Caenorhabditis elegans: one gene and its partner. The protein of the gene in region 1 interacts with the protein of each later gene in a pairwise test. Each region holds a gene or a part of one and is shown in the gene's direction. Other genes may lie near its edges.

What was found.
Region 2: the proteins of ccct-1 (region 1) and F07F6.8 interact in a two-hybrid assay, tested with the Caenorhabditis elegans proteins (one large-scale study listed by BioGRID).

What each region holds. Positions count from the first base shown.
Region 1 is NC_003279.8:13,777,187-13,781,925, forward strand, and holds the start of ccct-1 (Coiled-coil and C2 domain-containing protein 1-like), read left to right. Parts: upstream 1-1,708; 5' UTR 1,709-1,712; coding exon 1,713-1,819; intron 1,820-2,592; coding exon of another isoform or gene 2,593-2,694; intron 2,695-2,742; coding exon of another isoform or gene 2,743-2,823; intron 2,824-2,956; coding exon of another isoform or gene 2,957-3,088; intron 3,089-3,186; coding exon of another isoform or gene 3,187-3,321; intron 3,322-3,373; coding exon of another isoform or gene 3,374-3,460; intron 3,461-3,503; coding exon of another isoform or gene 3,504-3,629; intron 3,630-3,674; coding exon of another isoform or gene 3,675-3,739; intron 3,740-3,810; coding exon of another isoform or gene 3,811-3,894; intron 3,895-3,941; coding exon of another isoform or gene 3,942-4,052; intron 4,053-4,097; coding exon of another isoform or gene 4,098-4,216; intron 4,217-4,739. Other genes in the region: Y37H9A.1 (Copper transport protein 86), read left to right, coding at 1-118, 1,345-1,491.
Region 2 is NC_003280.10:5,423,594-5,427,391, reverse strand, and holds F07F6.8 (Apolipoprotein L3-like), read left to right. Parts: upstream 1-1,658; 5' UTR 1,659-1,673; coding exon 1,674-1,763; intron 1,764-2,136; coding exon 2,137-2,256; intron 2,257-2,313; coding exon 2,314-2,733; intron 2,734-2,780; coding exon 2,781-2,876; intron 2,877-2,924; coding exon 2,925-3,155; 3' UTR 3,156-3,251; downstream 3,252-3,798. Other genes in the region: F07F6.7 (Apolipoprotein L, 1), read left to right, coding at 3,561-3,596, 3,647-3,766.

The sequences.
Region 1 (4,739 bases):
GGCGAATTTATCGGATTCTAATAAGCTTGCCACGCTGCAAAATGGCCGACAAGGACTAATTTCAGTGCTTCAATGTACCACGAGACGGCCTGAATATTTCTTGGAGAGCTTTACTATGGTATCATGGATTTTCTGAAAAACCCAAAAAAATTTCAAATTTTCACTTTCAAATTCGAATTCTCCGTCCAATTCTACCAATTTTGGCTTTTTTCCCGGTCTTCTAGCGTTAATTTTGAGATTTCCGGGTTACTGTAGCCCCAAAAGTACGCAATTTCTCGTCCGGGCACCGGATCCTACGACGAAATGCACAGAAACTCAAAATGTTGCGAAAAGTGTCGGGATATGGGTAAAAAAGAGCGCTGAAACCGAATTTCGATAGAAAAACAATGGAAAATTGTGATTTTCTAGGTTTTTCGCTGAAAAATGTCGATTTTTAGTGGAAAATTATTAAAAATCTCGAATTTTTGGTAAGAATTCTGCTGTTTTCTTCAGAAATTCGGATTCAGCACCCCTTTTTACCCCTGCCTAGGCGGTTTTCGCGAGTTTTGAAGTTTCTGTGCATTTTGTCGTAAGATATGGTGCATCGACGGAACATTGCGTACTTTTGGCGCTACCGTACCCCGAAAATCTTATAATTAACGGTAAACGCCTAGAAAACCGCCAAAGTGTGGTAAAAAATGACGAGCAATTCGAATTTTCACACTAAAAACTTGGAAAATTATCGGAATTCAATTATTTCCTCAGAAATTTCAAAAAAATTGGTAAAATTTCAACTTTATCGCTTTTTCCATATGAAATTCGAGCTCAGCGCCACTTTTTACCCCTATTCAGCTGATTTCAGCTGAATTTTGCAAGATTCTAGATTTCTGTGCATTTTGTCGTACGGTCAGGTTTTCTGACGACAAATTGCGTAATTTTGGGGCTACAGTACCCCAAAAAGTTCAAACTTAACGCTAGAAGCCCAGAAAAAAGGCTGAACATGTGAAAAATGGCGGGCAATTCGAATTTCAAGCTTAAAAATCTCAAAAATCGATATTTCGTCCGGAATTTTTTACAAAACTTGCTTTAAACTTGATTTTCCTACCCAATTTTCCTATTGAAATTCGGATTCAGCACACATTTTTACCCCAAAATCGCCGGATTTCGCAAGATTTGCCAATTCTGTGCATTTTGTCGAAAGATCTGGTGCCCCGCCGCCGACAAATTGCGTACTTTTGGAGCTACAGTACCCCCGAAATGTTCAAAATTACCGCTAGAAACCCGGGGAAAAAAGGCTAAATATGTGAAAAATTGCGGGAAATTCGAATTTAATACTAAAAAATCCCAAAAATTCCAAATTTTCAGAGAAATCAATCGATATTCTGTGTTCGTCAGCTAACAGATGGTTGTCAAGAGAATAAGGAAGTGGTTTTTAATCTCCAGCAGCCAAATCAACCAATTATCGATCGAAAACGACTTCTCGAAGAGCTCGGAGTCCACGTGGACAATTAAATTTTTGAAATTTTAATTTTTCTGTTGTTCCCGCATTTTTATACACGTTTTTTTGTTTTTTGTTGTTAATTTTTTTTGAAAAAATCAATAATTTATCGATTTTTTTTTCATTTTTATTAATTTCTCAATTTTCAATAACTGTTCCCCGTGCAGTTTTCTGGTATTTTTTTTCCCAAAAATTTCAGGCAAAATTTTCAGCCAAAACCCCCCTGATTTTCCAGATGAATTTCAATGATATTGATAATCAAATGTACGGGAATTTGGAGGAGGACGCTGAGTTGCTCGCCGAGCTTGCCGCAATACAAGAAGAGGAGATGGGTCGTGTTAGGTAGGGTTTTAGCGGGTTTTCGGCGAGAAATTCGGATTCTCTGTGATTTTTTACCATCGGGAGCCTTTTTTCTGGACTTCTATGGTTAATTTTGAATTTTCCGGGGTACTGTAGCCCTAAAAGTACGCAATTTTTCGTCCAGGCACCGGATCTTACGACAAAATGCACAGAATTTTTAAATTTTGCGAAAACCGGCTGGATAGGGGTAAAACAGGCCGCTGAAGTCGAATTTCAATAGGAAAATCGTTGAAAATGCGAAGTTATGGTGTAGAAATTCATTTTTTTCCGCAATTTCGATATTGTTACTGCGAAATTTGAATATTTTATCAATTTTAGACATTAAATTCGAATTCGGTAATTTTTCACCCCCGGGGGCTTTTTTCTGGGCTTCTAGCGTTAATTTTGAATTTTCCGGGGTACTGTAGCCCCAGAAGTACGCAATTTCTCGTCCGGGCACCGTATCTTACGCGAAAATGCACAGAATCTCAAAGTCTTGCAAAAAGTGTAGATTTTTCATGATTATCGTCTTTAATTTGACGAATTCCGGCTGTACCGTTAGGAAATTCGAATTCCTTGTCATTTTCTACCCCCGATGCCTTTTTTCTGGGTTTCTGTCGTTAATTTTGAAATTTCCGAGGTACTGTAGCTCCAAAAGTACGCAATTTTTCGTCCAGGCATCCGAATTTACGACAAAATGCACAAAATTTCCAATTCTGCTTAAAACAGGCTTTTCTGGGGTAAAAAGGCGAGCTGAGCTCGATATTCAATAGGAAAATTAGGGAAAATTCGAAATTCTGGCCGGGATTGTGTGGAGAGTGAGCGAATCGGTTGGTAGACGAGAGAAAATACTGCGGCTTGGCGACACCGTGAATGTTCTGAAATTTTAAACTTTTTTTAAAATTCATAATAACTTATTTTCTTACCGATCTAGAATTCCCGGAGAATGGTTAGAAGCCGCAGATTGTGGTGGTGGAAGTTCGTTGGTACGAACTGAAGAGTCGTCTCTGAAATTTATGAGTTCGAATTTGTTGAAAATTTATTTCCACGCTCTACCTGTCACTTTTTAAATGTGTTTTGCCTAAATTCTTTTAAAACTAAAAGTTACTAGAAAAACTAGAAGTTTAAAGCCAAACTCACCGAGAGCGACCAGCTCCGACATTTGAAGCAGCTGAAGTTCTCGAACGGGAACCTGATCTCGAACCTGTCGGGGCTGCTTGATTTCTGCTCCGGTTTCCGCTGAGCTCGGTGGCGTTGGGTTGGACAAACGTCCTGAAAAACAAAAACTTTACATTTTTACGTCTTAAAAATCGTCTGAAATCCACTGAAATTTATCTGATAAAATCAGTTTGAAAAACCAAACTTCTTACCGATCGGCCGTAGCATCCGTTGGGGCAGTCTCATACGATAGAGTTGGCTGGATTGTGTGAAGTGACAGTTCCGTAGGAAACCGAGAACGTGATCCACTACGACTCGATTGTATTTCTGGTGCTCCAAGGAATCCGCTGAAATTCAAATAATATAATCGATTCGAATTAAAAACCCGCTATTGCTTACGTGTCTGCAATCCTGACCGTATGGGCACTCTGAAGGGACGCCGATGGTGTAGTTAAGTGGGACGCACGCGTCGAAACAATAAATGTTCTGAAATTTAAAATTAGTGATTCATAATAACTTGTTTTCTTACCGATCAAGCGTGTTCGGAGACCGAAAAGAGGAGAGAACTCCGTCGAGTGAGTCACCTCTTGAGGTTTGAAAATTGCTCCGCGAGGACTGCGCTGTCATTTGGCTTGGGTGAGGACGATAAAATCCCCTGAAAAATAAAAACTTTACATTTTTTCGTCTTAAAAAATCTTACAAGTCGGCAGACTTCGCGGTATTGAATGCGGAGATGCCACGTTGGCGAGTCCTTGGTTGGATCTTCTGAAATGTGATAATTAGACTTTTGAACACATTTTTTGCTAGTTTCTAACAATCAATGAAAGCAAGCTTACCTCGTCGAGCGTCTCAATTCCTGCTCTAAAGAGCGATTATTTCCAGTAGAGCTCTGCAGAGATGGGGGAGGTGCCAGAAATCCGCTGAAAATCGAAAATTAACACTCAATTTTTTTAACTTAATTATTTACTTGTTGTGCCGGTCTGATCCCACTTGTGATTTCGAAAGAGACCTTCCGAACGTTACTAAAGGAGAGCTTCCGGACGATGGGACTGCAACTCTGTTGGAATTGAGTGTATTTCTGAAAATAGGAAACTAGAAATAATTTCAATCGAAAAAAAATCACCGTTCCAACACGCGTTTAGATCTCCGGTGGGGCGATATACTCGATGAGTCTCTTGACGCTTCGGAAGTCGTGTCTCTGGAATCCTCCTGGGAAACCTTGATAGGCTTACGCGACGGCATCCTAAAATTTGAAAAATTATACAAAGACAAGAGAGAGAAAATAAGTTAAAAACAGGAGAAGCCGACAGAAAAGAGAAAAGAGTGTGTAAGCTGAGAGGGCTCTGCAGATATTTTAAAACTGTGTGGTTAATAAAGGACCGGAAGAATAAAAGTTCTGACTTCTGGCCAAACTTCTGAAATTGGAAAAATCAATTTTCAAGGTCTCAGAAAAGAAGAAAAAGCAAAAAACATAAAAGATTGTCTATACTTCCAGTCATTCCAAAAAGTAAAGTAGAACTAAATAATAAAACGCTTAATTTTTGAACAGTTAATTCTGACAGCGAAAATAGAATACTGCGAAATTTGAATATTTTATTAATTTTAAACATTAAATTCGAATTCTCGGTGATTTTTCCCGCCGGCCGGCTTTTTTCCGCGCTTTTAGCGTTAATTTTCAATTTTCCGAGATACTGTAGCCCCAAAAGTACGCAATTTCTCGTCAGGGCACCAGATCTAACGCAAAAATGCACAGAATCACCAAATC
Region 2 (3,798 bases), on another chromosome or scaffold:
TTTCTTTTAGTTTTGTCTTTATCTTTTATTTTTCAACCTATGGGTTTTTGTATTCTCACTGAATTTCGGGTCTTTCAAAACTTTTTTACTTTATTTTATTGAATGTTGTGTGTCATTGGGTTTTTCAATTTCTTTTGTCGTTGTGAATGTTTCATATATCAGTTTTGTTGGGCACAAACTTAAGTTAACTTCCATTCAAAAAAAAACCTTCAAATTGAGAAAATCGTAATTGCAAGCTGTGTAGATTTACTGTAAACAACACACACATCCGGAATAACGGAGTGTCGTAGTTTATTTTCATTTTTTCGAATTTCGTTTTGTTTTAACAATTATATTTTTCTTCTAAATTCCTTAAGAGCGTTTCAATTTTTTTTTGTTGAAAATTGTCATGACTAGCATCTAACTCAGGGAAATTTAAAAAAATTTCTATAACTTGAAAATTCGCTTTGCATTGAGCCCTGACCAAAACAAGTCACCCTCTCAGCTGCTCATTTTCTTATTTTCGTCGCGAGAACGCAAACAAGGATAAACTTGACCAAAAAACACGTTTGTTTACCATGCAAGCTTTGTTTTTTGGTCCGAAATTGGTTTTTAATACGTAAATATGTACCCATAAATACTGAATAAAAGTATCAAAATTAATTCGAGAGACATTTTTTTTTACTTTCAATTTCCGAAGTAGATTAACGAAATTTCGTAATAGTTTGGTCACATTGTGATACGTAGCTGTATTAGTGTTCGTCTGGGTCTCTTCTTTTATAACTATAATAACCAACTTGAACATTTTTATTTCAGGACCGCTAACTTCGTCCTACTGCTCTCCATCGACTTCATGATTCAAATCCCAATCATCAATCGATAATTGCTCTCGTTCGCCTTATTTCCCAATTCTTCCCATTTCCGCTTCGTATCATACCTACTGAATTTTCTTATCAATATACTTGGGAACTGTCTTATTCTATGTGTGATAATATTGCCTTTATTCGCCTTCCTCATCATAATTTAGTCAACTTCTTCCATTGAAATTGAACAAAATACTAGCTGCTGTAGTCTTCACCTTTTTCTCTCTTCATTCTAGAATCACTTGATTCTCACTCAGTGAGCCTTGTCCCACCACAGTCTCTGTCGTCTCTTTCTCTAATCGAGAGGGTCAACGTGTCATGGGAGGCACCCGAGAACGACATAGAAGAGGGGGAAGGCCATTGGGTTGTAAACATGTGATTCTTCGATCGATTCTATCTTTTTTTCGTACATTTTTTGTCGTTTTCATTTACCCGTCTTTGGCTTTCCCCCCTTCTAGATATTTATTTTATTTATTGCACCATACTAAATTCTAGATCATATTTTCTAAACCAGTCCTTGTGACTTTTTGGGCAGTGTGGGAAAATCAGGAGTTTTTCATCAGTCACTTGTTTTCCTGTTTTGATTTTTGCGTCAAATTATTTATGTCGCGATCCATATTTTTCCGAATTTACATGTTAGCCCCAGTCTTCCAACTTTTGTTTCCTTCTATCAAAATGCTCTTCCCGTCTTGGAATTTTTCGAAGTTTAGGGTATTTTTTATTGATTTCTGTTTCACTTCTAATCCTCCCACACTTCGCGATTTTTAAATATTTTTCTGGTAATGAACTCATGTTTTCATTTTTGTCAAAATTCAGATAAAATCAGACAAGATGCAGATCAAAGATGATCACGACGACGCAGGTTCTCAGTCGGAAGACAACGGAGTTCCAATTTACGATTCATTGGAAAGCTTGCTATTTGTAAGATTTTTTTTAAAGTTTCAATAATACGGTACTGGGTATTTTGTAAAATTCCAGCGGGTGTGCGCCTTTAAAGAGTACTGTAATTTCAAACTTTTGCTGCTGCGGATTTTTACTCGACTTTTCATTGTTTTTTTCCCTAAAAAAATTGTTTTCAATAAACTAAAACAATGAAAACACAAACATTTTCAAAAAATTGCGAGAAAACTATGAAAAGTCGATGAAAATTCCAAGCCACTATACTTCGAACCTACTGTACTCTTTAAAGGCGCACATCCGGTTGTATTTAACAAAAATTGTCGTATCGAGACCGGGTACCGCATCTTTCCACAAAAAATTCCCGTCTTCGTAATATAATTATTAATGAATTTAGATTCCAAGGTCAATGTCAAAAGAATTGAGTGAAACAGCATTGCGTACACAGTTTTTATTGGACAAATGGAGCAATAATCGAAGAAAAATTGTCAGACAAATGGAAGGAATTGCTGAGAAGGTATGTACTTTAATGCGAGATTTTAATCAAAATGAATTTTAAAATTTTTAATTTCAGCTGGATAATTGGGAGAAAGGATGTGCAATTTCAACAGCTGTCGGAAGTACCGTTGGTATTGCATCTGGAATTGCAGTTATTGGAGGACTTATCTTGATGCCACCAGTTGCAATTGCTGGTCTCATCGTTGGAACAGCTTCAGGAGTTTCCAATTTGGCGACAGGCATCACGAAATTTTTTCATACAAAAGGGCAGCACAAAGAAGTAGCTGCAATGATTGCAGAAGACGGTGTACTTTTTGAAGAACTTCTGAAATCAAGAGAAGAACTTATGGAAGCTGTTCGGAAAATTGTTGAAGATGAGGAATTCTTTAAACATTTCAAAAACGACGGGGACATTGAAAATAAGCTGAAAACTGTGTTCGGTGGATCAGTTACTGGAATAACTGGAATTGGAACTAGATTTGCAATTACTTCGATGGTAAGCTCTTTTTATTATTTTTTTCATCAATATTATTTATTTTCCAGGGTCGCCTCTCCTCTTCTCTTGTCAAAGGAGTTCTTCACAGTGTAGCTGTAATTGGAATCGTTCTAGACAGTGTCACATTGGCGTTGAGCGCCAAGGTACAACAATTAATTTGAAATTTTCAAAATAAAATATACAAATTTCAGACTCTTGGAGAAGGATCCGTGTCGGAACTTGGATCTTCTATTTTAGAAGCATCTTCCAAAATGGAAATGATGCGCCAAAAAGTGGTAAAACACTTTTTGAATGAAGACGTCTGGAAAGACGATGATGACGTCCTCTCCGATGTTGGTTCTATTGAAATGGTGCAGCCAGAATCTCCAAATCAGTCACTGATAATGGATCCACATCAACAAGAATCATCTGTACAACATTAATATCGGGATTTTGAATTTTTCTGGGTTTCACTACTGTTTTGTTGTTATTTTGCGAAAGTTTCATGCGAATAAATAAAATAAATTCGGCACTTCAAGTGTGGGCATTGTGAAAATAACGGAAACCCGAAAATGGTAAATATCGATTAAAATCCAGAAAGAATGCGAGCTACAGTATACTCTACAGTACTAATTTAAAGGCTCAGATGTTCAATATTCCAGGTGGTCTTGAAAAGACACCTCATTGCTCAGAATAAAAATCAAAAACGAATCCGTGTTTTTAAGGAATTATTTTTTATTGTACTGTAACTTGTCTTCATTTAAATTCTTGTTTTCTTATTAAATTATTCACTATTTCAAATTCTAAATTAACTGATTCAGAGACTTATCTACAAACTGCAAAGCGATATGTCAATCTATGAATCTTTGAAAAGCACGTTGATGGTAAGATTTTTATTCAAATTCATTTTTTATAATTTATATTTCTTGTTCAGAATGGCGAAGAAATGCCAAAGGAACTCCAGGTTAAAGCCTGGGGAGCTCAATGGCACCTCGATCGTTGGAGCTCAAACCGACAAGAGATCATGAACCGAATGGAGGAGATTGCTAAAGATGTAGGTCGATAAAACATAGTTTTTCTATTTAT